3 linked regions of the Daphnia pulex genome follow. The protein of the gene in region 3 purifies or fractionates together with the protein of the main gene of each other region. This does not show direct contact. Links are inferred from orthologs where the notes say so. Each region holds a gene or a part of one and is shown on either strand. Other genes may lie near its edges.

Evidence for each region.
Region 1: the proteins of splicing factor 3B subunit 2-like (region 3) and dnaJ homolog subfamily C member 8-like purify together in Homo sapiens (affinity purification with mass spectrometry; 3 studies listed by BioGRID and IntAct, with this or other methods). This does not show direct contact. The link is inferred for Daphnia pulex from reciprocal best matches to the Homo sapiens genes SF3B2 and DNAJC8.
Region 2: the proteins of splicing factor 3B subunit 2-like (region 3) and U2 snRNP-associated SURP motif-containing protein-like purify together in Homo sapiens (affinity purification with mass spectrometry; 3 studies listed by BioGRID and IntAct, with this or other methods). This does not show direct contact. The link is inferred for Daphnia pulex from reciprocal best matches to the Homo sapiens genes SF3B2 and U2SURP.

The regions. Positions count from the first base shown.
Region 1 is NC_060019.1:13,008,375-13,015,239, reverse strand, and holds dnaJ homolog subfamily C member 8-like, read left to right. Parts: upstream 1-2,056; 5' UTR 2,057-2,190; coding exon 2,191-2,286; intron 2,287-2,380; coding exon 2,381-2,539; intron 2,540-2,608; coding exon 2,609-2,675; intron 2,676-2,741; coding exon 2,742-2,836; intron 2,837-2,902; coding exon 2,903-2,973; intron 2,974-3,040; coding exon 3,041-3,317; 3' UTR 3,318-3,448; downstream 3,449-6,865. Other genes in the region: uncharacterized protein LOC124190213, read right to left, coding at 215-1,206, 1,263-1,551; uncharacterized protein LOC124190211, read right to left, coding at 4,049-4,194, 4,280-4,488, 4,560-4,756, 4,823-4,984, 5,051-5,153, 5,221-5,405, 5,476-5,666, 6,569-6,865. UniProt on the Homo sapiens protein: Suppresses polyglutamine (polyQ) aggregation of ATXN3 in neuronal cells.
Region 2 is NC_060023.1:3,569,803-3,577,570, forward strand, and holds the start of U2 snRNP-associated SURP motif-containing protein-like, read left to right. Parts: upstream 1-2,905; 5' UTR 2,906-3,065; coding exon 3,066-3,140; intron 3,141-3,212; coding exon 3,213-3,306; intron 3,307-3,373; coding exon 3,374-3,560; intron 3,561-3,618; coding exon 3,619-3,746; intron 3,747-3,802; coding exon 3,803-3,876; intron 3,877-3,939; coding exon 3,940-4,105; intron 4,106-4,170; coding exon 4,171-4,334; intron 4,335-4,404; coding exon 4,405-4,464; intron 4,465-4,795; coding exon 4,796-4,839; intron 4,840-5,229; coding exon 5,230-5,334; intron 5,335-5,405; coding exon 5,406-5,521; intron 5,522-5,577; coding exon 5,578-5,692; intron 5,693-5,755; coding exon 5,756-5,918; intron 5,919-5,987; coding exon 5,988-6,254; intron 6,255-6,323; coding exon 6,324-6,441; intron 6,442-6,501; coding exon 6,502-6,624; intron 6,625-6,687; coding exon 6,688-7,009; intron 7,010-7,073; coding exon 7,074-7,221; intron 7,222-7,309; coding exon 7,310-7,500; intron 7,501-7,605; and 2 more. Other genes in the region: phenoloxidase-activating factor 2-like, read right to left, coding at 39-140, 220-242, 305-454, 525-820, 906-1,089.
Region 3 is NC_060020.1:5,123,341-5,131,108, forward strand, and holds splicing factor 3B subunit 2-like, read left to right. Parts: upstream 1-2,977; 5' UTR 2,978-3,217; coding exon 3,218-3,458; intron 3,459-3,545; coding exon 3,546-4,192; intron 4,193-4,254; coding exon 4,255-4,598; intron 4,599-4,668; coding exon 4,669-4,873; intron 4,874-4,943; coding exon 4,944-5,194; intron 5,195-5,269; coding exon 5,270-5,388; intron 5,389-5,452; coding exon 5,453-5,613; intron 5,614-5,682; coding exon 5,683-5,754; 3' UTR 5,755-5,820; downstream 5,821-7,768. Other genes in the region: protein numb-like, read right to left, coding at 674-763; uncharacterized protein LOC124192101, read right to left, coding at 6,131-6,506, 6,583-6,715, 6,785-7,676, 7,739-7,768. UniProt on the Homo sapiens protein: Component of the 17S U2 SnRNP complex of the spliceosome, a large ribonucleoprotein complex that removes introns from transcribed pre-mRNAs.

The sequences.
Region 1 (6,865 bases), on a different chromosome or scaffold from region 3:
TGAATGAAAGTGGCTTAAATCTTAAATGGTATCCATCCTTGAGTTTATTGTTATCTTTTTTGTTTTTAAGAGAATTTCCATTCGGCGCTTGATTTGAACATAACTTTAGCGGGTTATTTCTTGACACAGTAATGACAGCAGTATGATTAATACAATGTTTTATATGAGGTACCAGTCCACTTAAGATTAATAAAGATTCATTAATCTTTAGTCTTTATCCTGTCGACTTTTTTCTTGGTAACAATAATAGACAGTTATTACAGGGATTGGAATTTGGTTCTATTCCAGCACATCTTGACGAGCGCAGCACTTGACCATCTTGATATCCAAGCGAAAACGGAGATATCTTCTGGCCAGTAAATTGAGAAACAGGCAAACCAGGGCACAACTTAGTTTCTCCGTAGCATCGAAGCAACTCTGATAGTTCGGATTCTGACGAAAATGTCGTATTCAATGAGTCGAGACCCAGAAATGCACCAAATAGGGAGTAACACGCGACACCAGTGAGTAAATCAATTTCTACACTTCTTCGAATATGAACTTTCCCAGCAATATACACATTCTCAGCACAGATCATGTTAGTTGTCGAAGGACGGTTTGGTATTTCAACTTGAATCCACGCCCAGGATAAAGAAGGAAGTCGCACTTCTCTTATGTTTACATGAATATCCTGTGATCGCTCCTGAACTTGATTCGAGTTCAATTCAATTTCATTACTGGGAATATCCTCTTCTTTCTCCATTAATGGCTGAGGTAAACTACGCACTACTGGTGTGTTAGATCTGATTAGACTGGCGAATGATGGACGGTCATTCGTTGGATTCATTTCAACTGATATATAGTTTAAGATAACTTCTTCTTGGTCAGTATCACTTACATCAATCGATTTTGAAGAGAAGTTGTTCAAGGATTCAGACGGCAATTCTTCGCGAGCTACGGTTGAGTGTTCCTCTTCACTAGAAATTTTCTTTTTGTTGAAATAGGTGTTGGTAAGGGGTGGGAATTGAAAAGGCAACAGTAATGATATTGTGTTGTCATTAACCAGGTTTAGATGGGAATTAGAACCATTCATTTCTGCTTCTTGTGTGACTGATACTTGCTGGATCACAGAATCATGAGATAGTTTTGTTGATTTTACTGAGGGTTTGCTTCTATCCTTGGGAGGTTTTCTCTTCTTAGGTGATTTGTTTAAGTTACTTGGGCATCCTAAAAAAAAGAAAAAGTTAACTACCACAAGAAAGCATCACTTTGCTATCAAATACCTGGAAAAATTCGAGGAAGTGCATTTTGTTTCAACCTCCAATTAAGCATCGGGAGAAAAACTTCTTTGTCTTCAATGATAAACTTATTTGCTTTGTGAATGTCATGTTCTTCAAAATGTATTGAACACACTTTATCTGTTGGATTCAGGGTGCCTTTTCTTGGAATCATCCTTGCCCACATTTCACGCTGAATGTCATTTTTAGGAGCTGTAAACATGGCTCGTCTGATTAACTTTCCATTTTTAACATGACCAGTATCACAGTATGGCACACAGCAGTTAGCTGGCATTTTAGTGCACTTGTGCAAAAAGAATCAACATAAAGGATTTTGTTACTACCTGATAGGTAAATCAGAGAAAATTATTTCAGAATATTCAGATAAGGGCAGTGCCGAGGAACGAAATGCATACCTTTTTCACTATTTGACTGGTCTTTAGAACCTAAAATCTTGAGAACAAGTTTTTTCACTTTGATTCGTGAAGTAAGTAAAAAAAAAATATTTCTCGTTCAAGCAAATACAAACAAAACACGTGCCGTTGTCATTCCACCATGACAACAACAGAGATGGAAACGTCTGACAACTGTCGTCATTTGACTTGCGACCGAAGCGCACCGAACGGTTACCGTTTGTCGGGTTTAATATTATAAAATTGATTTCACTTAATTCGTATTTTTGTATAATATTATAGTATCTTGTTAGTAGATTTAAATTTTCTAATATCGCAAAGGCCTGAAAGAATTTAAAAAATAAATCAGTCTCATCCGTTTGATGTAGCGCATTTGGTGACTAGAGCATTTCTAAACTTTGGCATTGGTACTTGGTAGTGGCCTTCCCATCCCCTTAAAATCGTTTGACAGATTAATTTAGTTTGGTTCCGTTTCATTAGTTAGTTTAATAAAATTTTGTTTACAAAGATTTGTCTTTTGAATGGCTGGAATAGACAGCCAATCTTCGGTCGGCAGTATGAATAGCGATTTAGATCACAGTAAAGTGGAACATTGCTTTCAGGAGTTTTACACAGAGGTAAACAATCTAGCATGGTTTTTCATTATGTATATTTAGTAGGATAAACTTGTGGAATATTCCATAACTTTTGGTTCATTTTATTTGATTGCAGGTCAAACAAATTGAAAAACGTGACTCTGTTCTGACTTCAAAGCAGCAAATTGATCGATTGCTAAGAGCTGGTTCATCATACTTTAATCTCAACCCTTATGAAGTGCTTCAAATTGACCATGAACTTCCTGTAGAAGAAATTAAAAAGAAATACAAGAGGGTTGGTACACATTTTCCAATGAATTGCTATGAAATTTCTGTTTCTGATCTTGTTTTTGGAATGACCCAGCTATCCATTTTAGTTCACCCTGATAAAAACAGTGATGATGCAGATCGTGCACAACAAGCCTTTGAAGGTAAATACAACCTTAACATTAAATTGTAAATTAAAAATACAAACAACATAAATTCTTTCCATGTAGTTATCAACCGAGCCTGGAAAATTCTAGAAAATGATAAAACCAGAAAACGTTGCTTGGAGATTGTTGAGGAAGCCACTGGAATGACTGATCTTGCAGTAATTATCTACTTTCAATTATCTAATCAAATTTACATGTTATTCAATTTGTCTATTTTAAATTAGATTTCCGAGAAAAGGAAAAAACTGAAGAAAGAAGGAAAGGATACACGAATTGATGAAGATGACCCAGTCAAGTATGAACTATTTTTCTGTTTTGCTTTGGGTTTTAGGTTATCCACTTACTTTATTATCCATTTCTAGATACCGCCGTGCGGTCTATGTGATGACGATCAAGCTCTTCGCTGACATGGAGCGAAAGCGAAGAGAATTGGAGCAACGCGATATGGAGGAAAGGAAGCGCAAGAGGGAAACTGAAATTGAGGCAGAAGAGAAGGCCAAGGTGGACAAAGAATGGCAAAAGAACTTCGAAGAATCGCGCCAAGGGCGAGTGAGCAGCTGGCAAAAATTTCAACACAAGAAAACCAAAACGTCCAAGGGATTTTTCAAACCTCCTAAAAATAAGATGGAGCAACGTTAAAACGTTGGATTCTCGCGCACTTTTCTAAAAATTGTCTAATTCGTACGACCGAAGATAAAAACAAACTAATATGACTTACTTTGCACTGAAAGAAATCTTCTCAAAAAAGATCAATAAAATGTAAAATGACATCAAAGATCTATCAATGGAATTGCACAAATTTACATAAATATATTCTGAGAAAAAAAAAACAAATTCATCACCATCACAGAGCGCACGTCGGGATAAAGGGCACAAAAGTTTTTTCTAGTTGAGGGTGAGGGAACTGAAGGGGCGAAAACATCAGTTAGAAGAGAGAATAAATTCTCCATTAGGAAGTAGAAATGTAAATGTCATAGCAAAAACGGATGGAAGTTGAAGATATTGCAAATGGCACGACCACATGTTCGCATCATTATGTACAACAAGAACAGGCTTGAATATTAAGGAAAAACAGCTCGCGACGTTGCATAGCCAATTCACTCGTTATTCGTTTTAGTTGTGTGTGACGAATGCTGAGGCTGTTTTTCATTTTCTAATTTAAGGCTTCGGAATAATGGACGCGGAATGCAGTCTAGTCTTTTCACATTATTTGCGAATGGAATGTTTCGCACGGGGGAATATTTCAATCGTCGTTTCTTCTAAAGCCTAATTTTGTCATGTCCACTTATTTCGGCGTGACGGAGTTGGGAGGGGTTAACTCTTCGTGGACTGGATATGTTTTGCTTCGATGTACCCGTAGCGTCGCCGTTTCACTCGCCAGATGGACGCTCCATCGCTGTGCGCAGGGGCACGGAACCCTCCACCCAAAGTCCGGCTCGTTCAACGACACTCTGCCAGAGCGTCACTTCTTTGCCGCTAGCGTCCATCCACTCGACCGGTTTTCCTTGGAACAAACCTAAAAGAAATTGCAACATTATTATTATTTTAGTAAAAAAAAAAAAACCTAAGGCGACTGAGAAAGTTTTATCCAAATTTCTCACCGGTGCCAAGGTTGAGTCGGAGTCCGCCGAGAAACTCTTTTGTAGCCAACCGGTCGTGATTCCAAATATCCAATTCCAGGGCACGTTCTTTCAGTTCCTGATGAGCAACATCATCGAAAATGAAAGTGCAATTCCAAACGGGGTTCGATGTCCTACGGCAAATGCTTGTCTTGTGTTTGGTCGTTTTACCCTTTTCGGGCATCAGGGTCCTAAAAAGAACAATTACATTGGGATTATAGACCAGCCTTTTCCGTTTCCCACTTCATTATCAGATTCTCACCCTTTACACAATGCGTCAATGTTTCCGTTGGGCCTGGCGGGGATGAGGCCCTTGGCCTCTTTAACAATTACGTGTAGAGCTCCTTTAGATTTCTTGGTCCTTTTGGTGGGAGAGGATTCACCGGGAATGTACTTGAGCGCAACAATCATGTCGCCGCGGTAGAACGGCATGACACCAGGATCCTCTACCATTTCAGACTGTACCAAAAGAATGTTCAATGAAAGATACTAGATCCAACAAAAGTTTCTTTAGATATGAATTACCCTTTCTTGAAGTTGATACCAATGGGGAGTTGGGTCGTCAAAAATTCGCCCGGCAAGTGGTAAAGTGATTTCACCGAGGAAATCGTTGCGACCAAACATGTCACTATGCCAGACAGTCAGCCATAGTGTTCGGTTCTCCAAATCGGAAAGAGAGGTGGTAAACTGAGAAAATACAATAAAAGGTTATTTAAATAGTCTGAAATACTTTAATAGCAGGCGAACTCTTACCTTTAAATTTTCTTCAAACATTGGTGATAGGGTGTGCTTTTTTACTTTGGTCTTTCTTTTACCGCTCTTGGAACGGTCAGGTAACAAATAAACTTTAGCATACCTATTCGATTAGAAAAACAGTTAAACGACAACTCGTGATAAGGGAACTTGATTGCTATTGTCATTACGGATCTGATCGGTTTCGTTTGGTGTCCACAGGTGCTAGGTCTTTGCACTGTTTGACGAAAACCTCTAGGGCAGTTTGGCGATAGTTGTAATGTAGGCCAAACTGAATCTCACCACGGACAGCTACTGTGCCGTAGCGGGCTTCGCCAGCAGCCGAGTAGACGCTGGCCATGGAATCGCTTCGAGTCTATATATATTGTGTTTAGAAATTTATCGAGATGTCAACGGCTGGTAATCAATATCAATGAGAAACTTACGCCAAGTGCGGACAGTGATGCACTGCGAGACTTGTTGTTGACTGTAGTAGCAGACAATTCGCTATCGTCCAGCGTATCGGAGGCCGATACACTGGAGAAGGACTCGCCGCTAGCCGCACTGCTGGCTACACTCGTCCGCAGTCCCTCCCGAACAAAGGAAGGACTCGACGAATAAGGTTCTCTTCTCTCATCTGCACAAAAAAAACAAGAAGGAAAGAATAACGTTCAATTAGTAGATGTAGAACGTAGCACGTTTAGATATTTGAGCGCGACCAAGTACATACTTAAAATAACCCCCATGACGTCGTTGATTATTTCGAGCAGAAGACGAATGACTTTTTCCTTTTATTCGGGGCCTTACGCGAATAGTTACAATTTCCGGCTCGGCTGCCTTTTTGAAGCAACAGCAGCAGCAATATTTAATCAAAAATCCCTTCCAGTTGCTGGTCTGAGAAGAATTTGCTTGGGACTCGAGGGAAAACGTTTCGTACTTCATTTGTGTTTCACCAACACGACAGACTAACACGATTCCGTGATACCCATTTCTGACTGCCCGGCATTATTTATCATTATTACAGTGCAGGAAACCAAATTCCCGAGCCTAAAAACCTAATCGCCCGGAATTCAGGTCCCGTCAAAACCGCAACTTGGGGTTTTCTTCTTCTTCTTCCATTTTGTCAAAATGGCTGAGACTGAAGTCTGAAAACGGGAAAAGGGCGGGCCCTATTTCGTTTCGTGATATTTGTCATGTTGGTCAACCTCCTTTCCCCATGAACCCTTTTGTGTCGAATCGAGAGACCCAGAAACAGGAAAAAAACCCGGGTGGTTTCAATAACCCGAGATAGAGAGCGTGGGCGCATGAGCGGAAATTGTTATTCCTAGAGGGGGGGGGGGACATCTTGATTGATCAATAAAGTGGAGAACAAGTAGATTGCGTCGAAAGTTTAGGAATAGTTCTCACGGATGAGAAATCTCTTAATTCTCCCCCCAGAAAAAGACTCGTGTGGTTAATTCGGCGTGCAACAGCTGTTGACAACCGCAAAAAGAGCAGCTGCTTAATGGCGAGTGAAAAAATTCCTCCGAGTTGAATTACCTGCCAACATGGAACGAACGTTCCTACGACTGGACAAAGAGGCCGCCGATCCTGTTGAACGAGGAGTGACGGACTCGGCACCCAGCCAAGGGGCAGACGGGGCGCGTTGAGGTGTGTTACTGCGCTGAGGAGTTTTGGGCGTTGTCTCGACATGATGTGAAGACGCTGATCCAGTGTGCCCACGGAATCCAGGTGGCCTGTAACGAGCCGAACGGACCGGCGTGGCATCATTGGAAGTGTTGAGGCTCGTCTCGGAAGCCGAGTTGGTCGTCGTGTGGCTCAACAGGAGCGAAAGTG
Region 2 (7,768 bases), on a different chromosome or scaffold from region 3:
AGAATTTTAGCATATCAAATTTTAATCAAAATTCTTACCCAAAGTTAGCGACTTTGTGGGCGGCTGTAACAACGTGTCGAGGGCTGACCAACACACCACCTCCGACATAGTTGTTGTTTGGACCTAAAATAACAACCATCCTACAGGGAAAATAAACAATTAATCAACATTTTCTTTATAACATCATACTCCTTTGTAATTGAAGGAATGCTTTCTCACCATGGGAATTCGCCAAATTTAGCCTAAAGAGAAAAATAGTTATAGTTTTCAAATTTCTGATAAATCATTACTGATCAGTTATTACCTGAGTAGTGTCTAAATTGTATCCAGGAGTAGGGATAATATTTGATCGTCCGCAACTTCCTTGCACTGGGGCAGCAGGTGGAGCAACAGGGAATGGATTATTTGCGACGCAGCAATATTGGAATGAATTCTGGCAACGAACTCCAGCTGGCTAAAAATTGAACAGATTCTTACAATAACCGTTTTTATTCCTCTGTCTAGAATTTAATATTCTCGCTTACCTTATTGACGATGCGCACGTCGATGAGGCCGGCACCGTCCGTATTGACAGGTGGGATATTGTTAGGGGGAGGTTGCGAATGTCCAGGTATGGGTGGGGGAGGGAGTGGTCCGGAGCCAGGTGGTGGAAGAGGAATATTTCCCGGTGCAGGATTGGCGCATTTCCCTACAGGAACGCACAAGCACTGACCAGACTGTTTTCCAGAAACATCTTCTTCGGGAATGTAAGGATTGGGTTTTAGAGCTGGATCTTTCTTCTGTTCACCAATAGGAGCTGAACCGGGGACAGCTTCTAGATCTACAAATAAAAACATATTAAATTAGGCTTATAGAATTCGTACTATCTCATAAACGAAAAATGGGAAATCAAATTATTAATTTACTGAGATAGCCGGCGAGAAGACCTAGACGAGTGTGGACCAACTCATCGTCAGTACCCAACGCATCTACAGACGTGTTGGGTAAATCTACAGGAACTGGCTCTTCCTCTTCCCCAAATGAAATTTGTGGCTTGGCTACCACCGACGACACAAAGACAACGAATACTAACGCAGCACTTACTTTCATTCTGTCTAAATAAATGATTATGAAAATGTTGTTGTTAATAATTTTTAAAAAAGATATTTAGCACTTAAAGTTGTCTTACCTCGAGTTCAAGTTCTCTTAGAAGAAACTTGTTGAATGATCTGACTCTGGCTGTTGCTTTATATACTGGCTGATTTATCCTCCAGCACACACTGTTAACACAAGAGACCAGCTAGTTACCAACTCCTGGAACCAATAGAAACTGGTTTTTCAGTTGGAGGGTCACGTGACTTTGTCGGGATTTCCCAAGGTGAGTGTACACGTTATTTTTTTTCCCTCTCGGCTCATCAGGTGATTTAATTTAGGTTGTTCAACCATGTGTGCGGTTCACTTATAAAGCCTTTGTTATCATCAACCGGATGTGCCAATAGCTAAATGACGAGTCATTTCCATATGGCATTTGCTTTACTATTTGTTGTAGTTGCATTAGGCTGCATGCGTATATTTCGAATCAATATTATCGCTTTATAGTTTGAGGTTCTCCGGTTTCCCCTCATCCTTCCCCAGTTTTTTCCTCAAGGCTATTTTTTGGAGAGAAAGCAGTCAGTCAAGCTCAAGGTCTTTTTTAGCTTCTGCTAACACACCTTGGCACCGCAAACCCAAGTGTAGAGCCATCAACCGGTCATCAGCAAAAAAAAAAAATTTGGCGGAATTGTTTTAAATTTAAGTTTAAAAAAAAATTTTGGGAGAGAATATATGAGCAATAGAGCAAAATTGTTCGTTAATTGCAAGATTAGATAAGTTTTGGGTTACCTGAATGAGCTGTATGAATTTCGACACACAATAGTTAATTCGTTTTGTAATCAAAATTTCCCATTCATTTGACACGTGCATAGAAAAAAATGTCGTTCTTTTATTGTATTCAGGGATAATGGAAAGGGAAATTAGGATACACGATACATGCATATACTAGCCAAAACTGCAATGTAATATGGAAAAACCCAACGTCACTATCGAGTTGTACCCAAAATGAAAATTTCCCAAACTAGAAATAACAAAATAACGGAATGCTTTTGATGTTCTGTAAGCATGTATATTATATAAGTTGGAAAACCCTTTCATGTGGATCTGTTTTGTTTCGGCCGGGACTTAGGCCATGCACGGAAATTTACAATTAGTACAATTAACAGAACATAACGTTATATTTAACGAGGTATTAGTGAAAACTTCCGCTATTAAACAGTTATTGTGTAAAACAATGAAACTTTAGGGATAATGAGTATTAAATTAGGAAAAATTTTACGGTGATTCCATTATAATTTCTTCTGATTTTAAATTACCCTAGTAACAAAAAGTGGTGATGTTGAATATTTTTGGGACTTTCGCTATACAATAAATTGTGATTTCTTGTTCCTTTCTGTAATAATGTTTAAACGCAATTTTATGCAAGAATAATCAAGAAAGATTCGACAATGGAATACGACGATATTGGAGTCCATTCAATTTCACGGTGACATCAAACAATGGAATTTATCATCCCTGTAATAAGGCTGTAACAAATTTTACATGTTTTGGGGCCGATGGCTCGCGTGTTGCCCTCATGCGCATTTTCTTCTCCACCAGATTTGATCCTACTGACTGCCGGCCTCGCCTGTTACACAATGTAATAAACATTTGTGACAATTGGGTGCAGTTTTACGACATATACTACATGTTTTTTTCCTAACGCGAAAATCAACGAAATTTTAGTTGTCATATTCATATACTCATGACTCATGTTGGCGATGTGCCGATTGGCCGATCTGATTCTGTGTTATGTTATTCCTCGACCAAAAAAGAAAAATAATAATGATTGGCATCGCTGTTTTGGCCGATGCGAGCTGGAATCGGCTGAAATAGTATGAAGTGCTTGTGGGATGGATTGATCGAAATATAATTAAACCTTCTATGACGTGAAATTATAAGAAGATACTCAACTTCTTTTTAACATTCTTGCAACATTAGTGTATTGTGTCAAAATGGCCAAAAGAGGACTGTCTCGTAAAGAACTCGAAGAAATCAAGAAGCGCGAAGAAATTGAAGCTGCTGCTGAGGTGATACACATTTGTTTGGAGAAGCTGAACTTCAAATAATTCAATATTATTGTTCATTGGATTTATTATTAGGTATTTGAGGAGTTTGTAGCCACATTTCAAGAAGATGCCAGCAAAGTCAGTAAAGTTTGGGTCAAAGCGGGTACCTATGATGCTGGTCAAAGAAGTAACAGATTACACATTTAATGCTATAATATAGCCATTTTTCTTAATATTTTCATTTTAATTTGCAGAGGAAGATGCCAAAGATAAAGGCAAATTGTATAAACCAACATCTAAATTGGCGAGCTTAGCAGAATCTTTCTCCACAAGATCCAAGGCAAATGAATCTAAGGAATCTAAAGAATCAAAAGATAAAAGTTTACAAAAAAAGGAGAAGAAAAAGAGCAATCTTGAGATGTTCAAAGAGGAACTCAGAGTGTAAAACTAGATTATTCTCTTATTTAAAAAATAATGTTACAATTAAATTTTCTTACAGTATCCAAGAAGAAAGAGAGGAACGACACAAAGTTAAAGCTCACTTGAAACCAAGTCGCTTTGAGCCTGTCAATGTGAGTTCTCCAAGTACTAGCAAAAGCTCTCTTGCTCTTGGATCAATCTTGATAGGTATGTAAATTGTAATTGCATTTTGTAGCAAATTTGTCACACTTTTTTTGTTTCAGAAGAAAAGACAGGATCATTTGATGTAGGAGATCCCAATACCACTAACATTTATTTAGGCAATATCAACCCTAAGGCAAGTTTTAAATAAATCATGTTTTTATCAACTTTATTAACATAAATTTAATGTCCCTTGCAGATGACAGAACAACAATTGATGGACACATTTGGAAAATATGGACCTTTAGCCAGCGTAAAAATCATGTGGCCTCGAACTGAGGAAGAGAAAGCAAGGAATCGAAATTGCGGATTCGTAGCCTTTATGTGCCGAAAAGACGCAGAGAGAGCGATGAAAAAATTAAACGGTTTGACAGTTTATATTCCGTTTTTTGCATCGATGCATTTATATCAAATGTTTATTTTTCAACAGGTAAAGATATTCTGTCTTTTGAAATGAAACTCGGATGGGGGAAGGCCTTGCCAATTCCTGCTCGACCGATTTACATACCGCCAGCATTACTTGAAAAAACGCTTCCTCCACCACCAACCGGCTTGCCTTTTAATGCAATACCCTCCCCACAAGATATTGATCAGGTATGGCTGGTATGCAGTACCTTAGATGTTCTTTCAAACATAATTGAAATTAATATTTCCCTTGTCACAGATCCCGCCACCCGGAACACCCTACCCAACACACGGCGAGGCGTTGGAGAACTTCAACAAGGTATTGGGGGATGGGCTAAGCTATTTCAATCAACCCAGCAATATGACTGACACAAGACTCGAGACTTTTTATCCGCCTGTTCCGGCATTGTTACTCATGGTCGGCGGATAAAAAGAAGCGAGTGCTTTGTGTGCGGTCGCTTCGTTGGGAGGTCTCATCTTTTCTATTTGTGTTCTTCGGCGGAAAGCGATGAAACCCAGCCAAAAATTTGTTTTCATGCGTTGCATTCGTTTGGCTAGTGAAGACCGTTGTTCGTGTCTCACTGCTCTCATACTATTGTGTGTTTGGAAATATGTTGATGTTTCACCCGGGTTTGCTGCTTCTCTCGCAGATTATATCCAGGGCTGTTGTCAAAGTGGTTATCCCTACAGACAGGTATGTAACAAAGATCAAGCCTCATAATACCTTGAAGCTGCGCGGCTGTGTGACATTACCCTGCTCCCTCCGAGCCCCAGGGAGTATACACGTTTTGTCACGAAGGAACAACACATTGTTCTTTTCATTCTTCCAATGCGACTATTCCTTAAGTCTTATTTAATTCCTTTGTAAACTTTTAACTAACACTCGGAATGCTTGACCAAAAAAAAAAAGAAAGAAATTTTGCTTTTTCAATTGACCCACTTCTTTTAAATCATCGAACAAAATTTTTTAAGTCGGTAGCTAATCTTAACATTTTCATTTTTATCACCACGTAAATCTGTACGATTGACATTTGTGCGTGTCATACGTATGTTGAACTTGGTTTTCTGGAACTGGCGTACACAGAAATTTGTTGTGTTTGATTCATCGAATGATCGAATCTGTTGTTCGAGAGGGCCCAATGCTTGAGGCCATGGTGATGAACAAGGAAATTGATAACCAGCAATTCAGGTACCTAAATTGTCTTTTCTAAAAATGTTGTTGGATAGTAATTATTATTTCTTTTTTACTTTTGCAATCAGGTTTCTATTTGAAAACCGGAGTCCAGCTCACATTTACTATCGCTGGAAATTGTTCTCAATCCTACAAGGCGAGTCTGGTAATGTGTGGTCCACAGAAGACTTTCGCATGTTTAAAGGTAAAATTTCTTTTTATTCTGTAAATTATCCAGCGCTCATTTTTAAAAATTAATAGGCGGTTCCATCTGGAAACCCCCGTCTATGAACCCGTTTTCTGAGGGCATGCCAGACGAACTTTTCTCGTCCGACGAGGAAGATGATGAGAGTCGCCGACGATCGCTCAGCAAATCGTATTTACTACAATTATTTTTTCTAATTCATTAAGCAATTCTAATTTACGTTCAAATCCATAGTCAAAAGAAACGACTAGAATTGATGTTGAGAAAATTGACTCCTGAAAAATCCAAAGTAGCGGAAGCTATGATTTTTTGCATCGAGCACGCCGAAGCTTACGAGGAAATCATCGATTTCGTTACCGAGTCACTCAATAGTGTCAAAACCTATATTCCTCAAAAGGTAATTTAAGTCGTGACTTCCAAGTTGGAAGAAACCTACTTAATTTAATCTTGTTTTTGTTTTTTTCAGTTGGGAAGATTTTTTTTGGTATCAGACGTCCTTTACAACTCGTCTGCAAAGGCGGTCAATGCTTCCAGTTTCCGTTCGGGATTCCAGTCACACATGGTGGAAATAGTCAATTATATGCATCAAGCGTACGAGGCGACCGAGAGCCGATTGAAAGCCGAAGCTTTTCGACAACGAGTTATGCTCTGCTTTCGAGCTTGGGAAGAATGGAATGTCTATCCAGCCGAATTCCTCATTCATTTGCAAAATGTCTTTCTGGGCCTTGTCTCTGTAAGTTTTTTTTTTTTTCTATTTTTAAATCTTTCCAACACTTCATTAATTATTTTGATTTCTTTAAAGGCCGATCAAGATGTTTCTCAACGGACTTCAGGCAACGTTGAAGACGTCGACGGCATTCCACTTGACGATGCAGAAGCAATCGACGGAGCTCCACTCAGTGATTCCGAAGATTTGGATGGTTTATTTCAAATACAAGTTTTTGAAGTACAAGTAATTTAATAATTTTTTCTTTTTTCAGGTGTACCTTTGGACGGTGCGGCTCTTTTGAGGAGTGCAGTCAAACTCCAAACTAGTTCTCCAGCTCGTTCATTTACAGTTACGAAATCAAACAAATATGACGCTGATTTTGATGGAGTGCCTAGTAAAATTGATTTTTATAATAATTAATTAATTCACCTATTAAAATTTTTATAAATGTTATTAGTGTCTGAAGATTTGGACGGAGTCCCGATAAAAAGCTCGTCTTCACCGGTAGTGCGAAGAGACCGGAGACGTGAAACTAAGTCATCATCAACTTCCAAATGGGAAACACCGGCGCCGGTTGTAGCCACTAGCAAGTGGGACAATATCGACCCCGATTCAGAGTCAAATGAGCCGTCAAGAAAAAAGAGTAGAGCCAAACATAATGAGGACATCTTTGCGGATCTGGAGAGCACTAAACAAAGAGGAGCTGCTTCAGATGAAGATCTCGACGGTGCGCCCCTTGACTCGTCACCAGAGGCAACGCGACACAGCTCCGGTTCTAGGTAGTAATTGTTAATTACAATACATTTTGCTTGACCGACTCCCAATTTTGTCTGAATGTTTTAGGAATGAGGATCAACGTGGGAAACTGCGAGAGCTTGAACTGAAAGTCGTTCGCTACCAAGATGAACTCGAAGCCGGACTACATAATCAGATTCCGGGCATGTCAGTTTCAGAACAAGTTCAACAATACCGCGAACATCTTTTACGCAAGGTTAAAAAGAATAGATTCTTTATATCTAATACTTGGTATAAATTGGCGATGTTAATCACTGGTTCCCTTCTTTGATTTCGTGTTACAGTCAAAACGGGATCGTTCCCAAGAAACAGTTGACGGTCGAGATCGCGAATCTAGAGAACGGCGCACGCCTCACAGTACCGAGAAATCAGATCGTGGTTCTGGTCGACAGGCAACTGACAGGGAACGTTATAAAGAAAAAGATAGACGACGTTCAATTTCCAGATCAAGGTCTCGTTCCAGATCGCCAAGAAAGTAAGTCGAAACTTCGTTTGACATTTGAACACGCCCAAATTTGACATTTGACCCCACCCCAAATGAATGATTTGTTGGCCATCCGTGTAATTATGCTGCCTTTAGGTCATCGCGATCAAAACGAACGAGATCATCGAGGTCGTCCAGTCCGAGTCACACTTTACGAAGAACCCCCCGGAGGTATGATGATTCATCCGCAGCGTGTCGATAGATTTCGTGATTAAAAGGACTGCTGCGTGCAGAGTCCTTTTATAGCGTTTACCGAATA
Region 3 (7,768 bases):
GTCCAACCCGAATTCCGGCCATTCCAGCCGTTTCATGGAGAAATTAACGTTGCAACATAACGGCAAATTCGTTCAGTTAGCGCAACTATCCCGTTACGCTTTCGCAAACGCACGCAATGAATCATGCCCTGAAGAGTACGGTACCTCGGTGGAATAATAAAAAATTAACGAAAGAAACGAGAACCCACACGCCCCGAATATTATCGATTGTTTCTCAAGCGCGGGCACGTCGAGACGGCGCGCCATTGCCAAGAGAGATATTCTTTCGACCGAATCTTGATTATTACCCAAAGAATAAACAGCAACTTGTGAGATAATAAAAGAATAGGGCATCTCCGTTCGGGAAACGACAGACACACACACACACGTGAAAAAGAAAAACATGGCAAGATCAAAGAGGAGGAGCTGGAGCCTCAGAGGAAAGGGGGGCGTGACGTCGCTTCACACGTCAGCTAACGCCAGAGGGCAACAGGTCATCGCTACGCCCCAGGTAAGACGCAACGTGTTACACGCTCCGAGACCCAACCTAGCCCACATTCCAATCTTTTTTAACCTTTTGCTTCCTCAACTAAAATTACCCGATACATTCTTAGAAAGTTTCCTTGATTCGACCAAATCGAGTTGGCCACGGTCAAATGTTAAGCAGGAATTAAAATATAAGAGACCCGATCACCTTGTCGATTTCATTGGCCACCGGAGCGATCGGATGGGTTACGGCCGATTCGAGCGGATCGTGCGGAAGAGCAGAATGGGCGTTGCCCATGTTTTGGTTTTTTTTTAAATTAAGATTTGGTGGTGCAATGTGTGCAAAATAAAATGTAAAAGAGTTTTTTGTTGGATATTTTGTAGATGAACGAAAAACTAGATGTGCATCAAGATCCGTGCGAATTAAATTCGTGCGTCGTCACACGGCCGGTTTCCATTACGCCGGCACCGGCGACCCGTAAAGTCAGAAAATAAGAGATATCCGCCCAGTTGCCATTCCGGTAAAACAGAAAGACGAGCAAATATTTCCGTCTTATTTCTTTGGGTTGCACAAACGATTCCGCACGTGCAAACACACGTCACACACAGTAGTCACAATCTAGTTCACTCTTAAAAAAGATCACACTCGGCCGTAAAACACAGAAACGAAATGGCGTAAAACGGACGCAAAACGTCTGTCCAGTTGAATCACGTCGGGAGGGAAATCGATGAGAACGACCGCGAAGCTGCTGGAGGAGCAGACTATAACAACAAGCGAACGTTCCCCAGCAAGGCGGACCATCAAAATGGCGCCCGTGACGTGAGAAACCCAAGCAAACTACTGCCAAAGAGTGGAATGTAGTCCCGACCAGGTATATAGACGCATGCGACCGTGGTTGGCTCCCTTCGTGTTGCCATAGGTATGTAACATGAGGCTTTGGCCTTCATGCTTGTTCAGCTCGAGGCCATCTTTGAACTCCCTCCTTCTTTTCTGTCTTTTCTTCTACCTTTTTACTGACTTATTTCTCTCTTCTTTCCAGCTAGACAAAAAAGGTAGCAGCCGATTCCTACAGTCTCGGGGTTAGCATCGAAAATAATAATAACAAGAGATGGGCTTCATCGAAATTGTTTTTTCCCGATGATGGCATCTATGGTGACGGATCACATCTCGTACGGGGGTTATTGCATACATGAATATGAATGGACCCGCAACAGAGGAGGTGAACGAACCACATGAGAGAGCCCTACGTCGTTGAAGGACACTTTGCTTTTATCAGTTAGTCCTGTGATACGTCCGGCAAACATCAACGTGATGTGGCCATCACTTTCTCTTTCATGTCATAGAAACCAACACGATATCAATGCAGGGCAAGGTAGATTACGTTCATGATTTACCTTTGTTCAAAGCCAGCCAAGGGTCGAATCAATAAATGAAGTTACCTCGTCTGCAAATGATATATCGATAAGCATGTCAGCAGACGGTTAGAGGACAAGGGTTGCTTAATAATCTACTGATAATAAATATACTACTACTAGCTGCAGCACACACACACACAATCTTCAAAGTGGGAAAAGCAACCAAATTGGTTAGTTTCTTGGCCTTGCGGTTGCACTGACCCTGGATCAACAATGCCCTATGGCGAAAAAGGCCGACTCTTTCACTCATCGTCAAAAAAAAGAAAAAATAAAACCGTAAACGTATATGAGAGACAAGGAGAGAAAAAGAAACGGTAATGGCTTCGTGGAAAGAATGTCAACGTGTATACGTAATGGCGTGAGAGTCTGAGAGAGACCTAGTGAAGTTGCTACACGGCCTGTGTGATGAAAGTCTCTTATCGATCCGGCTCACAGGCACATCTCACATCAGGGTTGTTGATAATGAAACTGATTTCTCTTTTAGCTTCTACCAACGTTTGATCGGTTCACCGACACCAAAAAATCTCAAGAGGGGTGAAATGGCCACACGCAACGTTTCTCATCAGATTTTACGAAAATGTGATTGTCGATGAGAATTTTCCCATCGAAAAACGATAATATCAAATAGGCTGGAAAAAACAATCTACAAAAGGTATGTACAAACGTAAAGGGGAGAGAACAAATGCCGTCGGTTTCACTTGATGCTGTAGACCTCTGGGCAGAGAGAAAACCAACCAAGACTGCCTTGAATGAGAAACTGAAAACAAGCCCCGACGAAAAGCCTGTCAACACACACCAAAACAGAATCGGCCAAACTTACCGGCCTCGCGATGAACTGGACGATCTCAATGAAAACAATACGTTCACAAACTAACTAATCACACCACTCCCACCGCTTTAGCAATACTCTCAGAGCACTTCGGTTTAAGAAACCGTTTTGACTGCAACTGCATCTCTCTCAGTGTGCCACCACAAAAAAAAATCATTTAAGATTCATCAGACTGCCATCTGGTGTTGATAGTGTGCACAAGCCTTTATTAAAAATTTAGGGCGCGTCGTGAACGCCATCTGCTGGTTTTCTGTGGTACCTCAATGAATATACGATTTGATCATGGCTTTTAGATTCGGCTTCATTTGGTCGTCGTTTACTCGCTTCACCCGTTTGGTTCTCTAACAAACTTGTTTTGCTATCGTGTTTCTTTCAAGGCAGTTTTAAATTAACGTAAAACTTCATCGTGTTTTACTTGGACGCGTCTATTTTGTCTATTGATTTGAAACACCCTTTTGATTGTGTGATTATTCTTTAGAAACAGAAAGTTATTTAGTTGAATTTGACATGGATCATCACATGCCGCCCGGCTACGGCCAGGAGAATTACATGTATGGAGATCCTTCAAGGTCCTTCCAGGGTAATGCTGTCGGTATGTATGGATCAGGTGCTAGACCGATGTCACCTCCTCCAGGTGATGAAGACATTCCCGCCCATGAACATCTCCCATCAGCACTTGAAGAAGTCCTTGCTTACAAAGAATACCGAGTACGAGAAACGGGCCACTCTGGAGAGGTTGATAACATTAGTGAGTAACACTTTTATAAATTTTCTAGTCTTCATGAAAGGTTTCGCTTGCAGGAATGAACTTTATTCTTTTCTATTTTTTTTTTAGTTAATGAAATCCCTGTCAAAACAGTTATAGAAACTGAAGGAACTATTGAAGAGAGGAAAGATGATTTCGGTGGGGAAGAAAACCTTGAAGAAAAAACTAAAACTCAAAGAAATCAAAAGAAGAAAAAGAAGAAGAAGCGCACTAAGAGACATCAACAGAAAGAAGAAGAAGAAGAAAATGAAAGGAATGATGATGCTGAAGAACCTCCACAAGTGGATATTGAGTATGTCCAGGAAGAAATCATTTATGACGACAAAAATCCTTTCTACCGACAGTTTGCCAAAATCTTCGAAGCATTTAAAATCATTGATGAAAAAACTGCAAAGAAAGCTGAAGAAGATGAAGCCAAAAAGAAAGAACTTCAAAGAAGTTTAGAACTTAAGAAGGTCCCCAAGTTTGCAGAAGAGGAAGATTTGGAGGAGAAAAAGGAAAATGCTGATGATGACAAGCCAAAAGTTTCAAAAAGAAAACTAAAACAACTTACTCGACTAAGTGTGGCCGATTTGAAGCAATGTGTTGCCAGACCAGACGTCGTAGAGATGCACGACGTTACTGCTAGAGACCCCAAACTGTTAGTTCTTTTGAAAGCAACCAGAAATTCGGTCCCAGTTCCTCGACATTGGTGTGCGAAGCGCAAGTACTTACAGGTATATTTTACTATGCACAAAGGGTAAACAATTCGTTTTAAACAAATTTTTTTGTACTTTAGGGAAAACGTGGAATAGAAAAGCCTCCTTTCAATTTGCCCGATTTCATCAAAAAGACCGGAATCATGGAAATGCGAGCTGCTTTGCAGGAAAAGGAAGAGTCAAAAACACTTAAAGCTAAAATGCGTGAGCGTGTTCGACCCAAGATGGGGCGTGTTGATATCGACTATCAAAAGTTGCATGACGCTTTCTTCAAATGGCAAACCAAACCCAAGATGACGATTATGGGTGATTTATACTATGAAGGAAAAGAATTTGAAACTCGAATGAAAGACAAAAAACCCGGAGAGTTGTCTGACGAACTGCGAACTGCTCTCGGAATGCCTGTTGGTCCTAGTTCAAACAAGTAAGAATCTATTCTTAATTTGACACCGTTTTGTGTTACAGTAGTTAATGTTAATGGCGTTTTCTTTAAGAATTCCTCCTCCTTGGTTGATTGCCATGCAAAGATATGGTCCACCACCGTCTTACCCTAACTTGAAGATTCCAGGATTGAACGCTCCAATTCCTGATGGTTCTTCCTTTGGCTACCATGCCGGAGGTTGGGGAAAACCTCCTGTCGATGAATTCGGGCGGCCTCTGTACGGCGATGTTTTTGGATTGACTGGAATCGCAGGCGATGTAAGAAAATATCTCATACTCTGTGTATAACAAATTCTATTAACCACGAATACTTTTGCCTCTTTTTCAGACAATTTTACTCGACGAAGAAGTTGATCGTACCTTGTGGGGTGAACTTGAATCGGAAGAAGAGGAGGAGGAAGTTGAGGAGAGTGAAGAGGAAGAAGGAGAGGACGAAGAAGGCGCCATTGATCAATCAGGTCTGGTTACTCCTGCAGAAGGACTTGCTACTCCTTCGGGATTCTCATCTGTACCTGCTGGTCTGGAAACACCAGATATGATTGAGCTACGAAAGAAAAAGATTGAAGCAGAGATGGAGAGGTATGTAACCAGTGTCAACTACTATACAACTGCTACTTTACATTTTTAATTATTCCTATTTTCACTCTTATTTAGTAACGAAACGCCTCAGCTGTATACCGTCCTTCCAGAAAAGCGAACGGACAGAATCGGTCAAGCGATGATGGGATCTACCCATGTATATGATATCGCTTCAGCTACGACCACTCAGAAGAGTAAGATTTGTCATTTTTTAGTTAATTTGTTGTTATTATGATTTTTCAATTAAATTTTTCATAGGTAGTGGTGGTGTGGAACTTAGTTTGGATCCCTCCGAGTTGGAAGGTTTGGACTCTGAATCAATGGCCGCTCGTTATGAACAAACATTGCGGGAGCAACAAGGCAACTTGGCTAAGGAAGATTTCAGTGACATGGTGGCTGAACATGCCGCCAAGCAGAAGGTAAGTCGTAAATCCAAATCAGTGATTATTAACTTGATTAATAAAATGTTTTCGTAATTGCAAAAACAGAGCAAGAGAAAGAGACAACAACAACAGACGGACACTAAACAGGCCAAGAAATACAAAGAGTTCAAATTTTAACATCCCTTTTGAAGCATTAAAAATCTTGTAATACACGCTCCGTTGTAATAAACAATTTGTTCTTAATTGTGTTTTTGAAACTATTTTTATTAGATACCGCCACATATCTCCTCCACACACAAAAGAAGAAATTCCGGTACAGCATGTTTGTATTAACTATATAGCATTAAACTACAGAATAGGTTATTTTATTTCCTTATTATGTTTGGTATGTTGCAACAGAATCGTCAAGAATTGCAGCAGTCATCGTGCTTTTGGAAGGTAAAAAAACGAAACACATGCTGATGGAAAGTCGTATAAAATATTATTAGCCAGTATTGCACTCTAACCTTGATTTCGTCTAATGACTAGTATTATAACAGGTTGCACAAGGTATCTAATTTGACTGATGATTCCAATTCAACGGCGAAGTTTCCTCGTATGAGCAAGAAAATTGGGCTGCTCCTATGGCCGAATGCTTGAACGGTTGATCAACATCCTGCATGCTAACGATCCCAGATCCTGAGGCACCCAAATCAACGTTCTGATGTTGACTGTGTCTTAATAACAAAGATGAGAAATCGTAACTACTGCTTGTTGTAGGACGGATATCGCTCGATGTTGAAGCTCCATTAGAAGAAGTAGATAACAACCCCATAGAACGCCAGGATGGTAAGGGATCCAGAGAAAAGTTGGTTGCTTCAAAATCAACTGTACTACCAGGAGGAGACGCCAATAAGAATTGCAAATGACGAATGTATTTGATAGCCAACCTGAAAAAAAAGGAAAAAGGTTAATCCAGGTTTTAAGCGAATGTTTATTGCTCATAAACGATTAAGCCAAAACAACCTGAGGGATTCGATTTTCGACAATTTTTTCCCTGGTGGTTTGATGTACGGTAATTTTTCACGTAGAGAATCGAATGCTCGATTCATATCTCGCATACGCGTCCGTTCCCGATCGCATGCCGATTTCTTGTAATCTAATAGCAAAATGAAAAATAATTTAATAGCTTGAATTTATTTAGACTATAGACGATGGGCCTTCAGACCTTTTTCATACTGAGCTCTGCTGCTATTGGAACCTCTCCAACAACGACTGGGATTTGGATAACGCTCAATGCTGACGGCATGTTGAAGTAGTTCTTCATTTTCAAAATCTGCTGCCATGAAAACGTCTCCTTCTTGCACTTGACCCAATCTGAGTCCAGTTGATCCTGGCATGCTGGTACGATCCGCTATAACGCTCCCGCGGGCTGAACAGCCTTCTGGAACCCAAATTCGTCGATTATTGGTATCTAGGTGGTAAAGCGGGTTAGATCCAGGTATCGACAAAGATTTGAACGGATCTTCCATCAACATGAACGACGGGTGAGAATATTCCAAATGGGTGTTTTCTGTTGACATCATTGGAAAATGGCATGGTGAGCCAAGTTGCTGATGAGACGATGGAAGACCAAAATGAGCTTGAGCTTCTTCGTGAGCGTTGGACATCCAACACGACGGGTTGAAATTGAGCATGTTTGGGATAAGAGTTAGACTGTTAGCGCTTTCACCGGAGGTGTCCGGCACCTCACCATCGTAATGGGTGATGGTGGGCAGATTACAAGAGGCCAAAGTCACGTAACGTGTTGGTGATTGATGTTGGTCATCGAGATATGAATTTTCCAATTCTTCTTTATCTTCTATTAGAGATCCATTCTTGAAAAGTTCATTGTCTTCATTTACTTCCACGAAGTTAGAAGGCGGTTCCAACAAAAGATCTTTCCGAAGTTCCAAATTTCCTCTCGATTCCCTTTCGTCCTCTCTAAAAATAGCATCAGGTTTAAAGACGATGACACTGGTTTCTTTAATTTCATTAATAGAGTCCTCCGGAGACTGTGTCACTGATTGATCATAGTTGATTTCGTCCAGAACAGAAGATGGCATCGTCAAATCCTCTGCCTAATCAAAATTAATATTTTACATTGATGAAGTCTCTCACACACACGATTTTAATGCCATACCGTATCTGAATGAAAAATTGGTACCTCCAC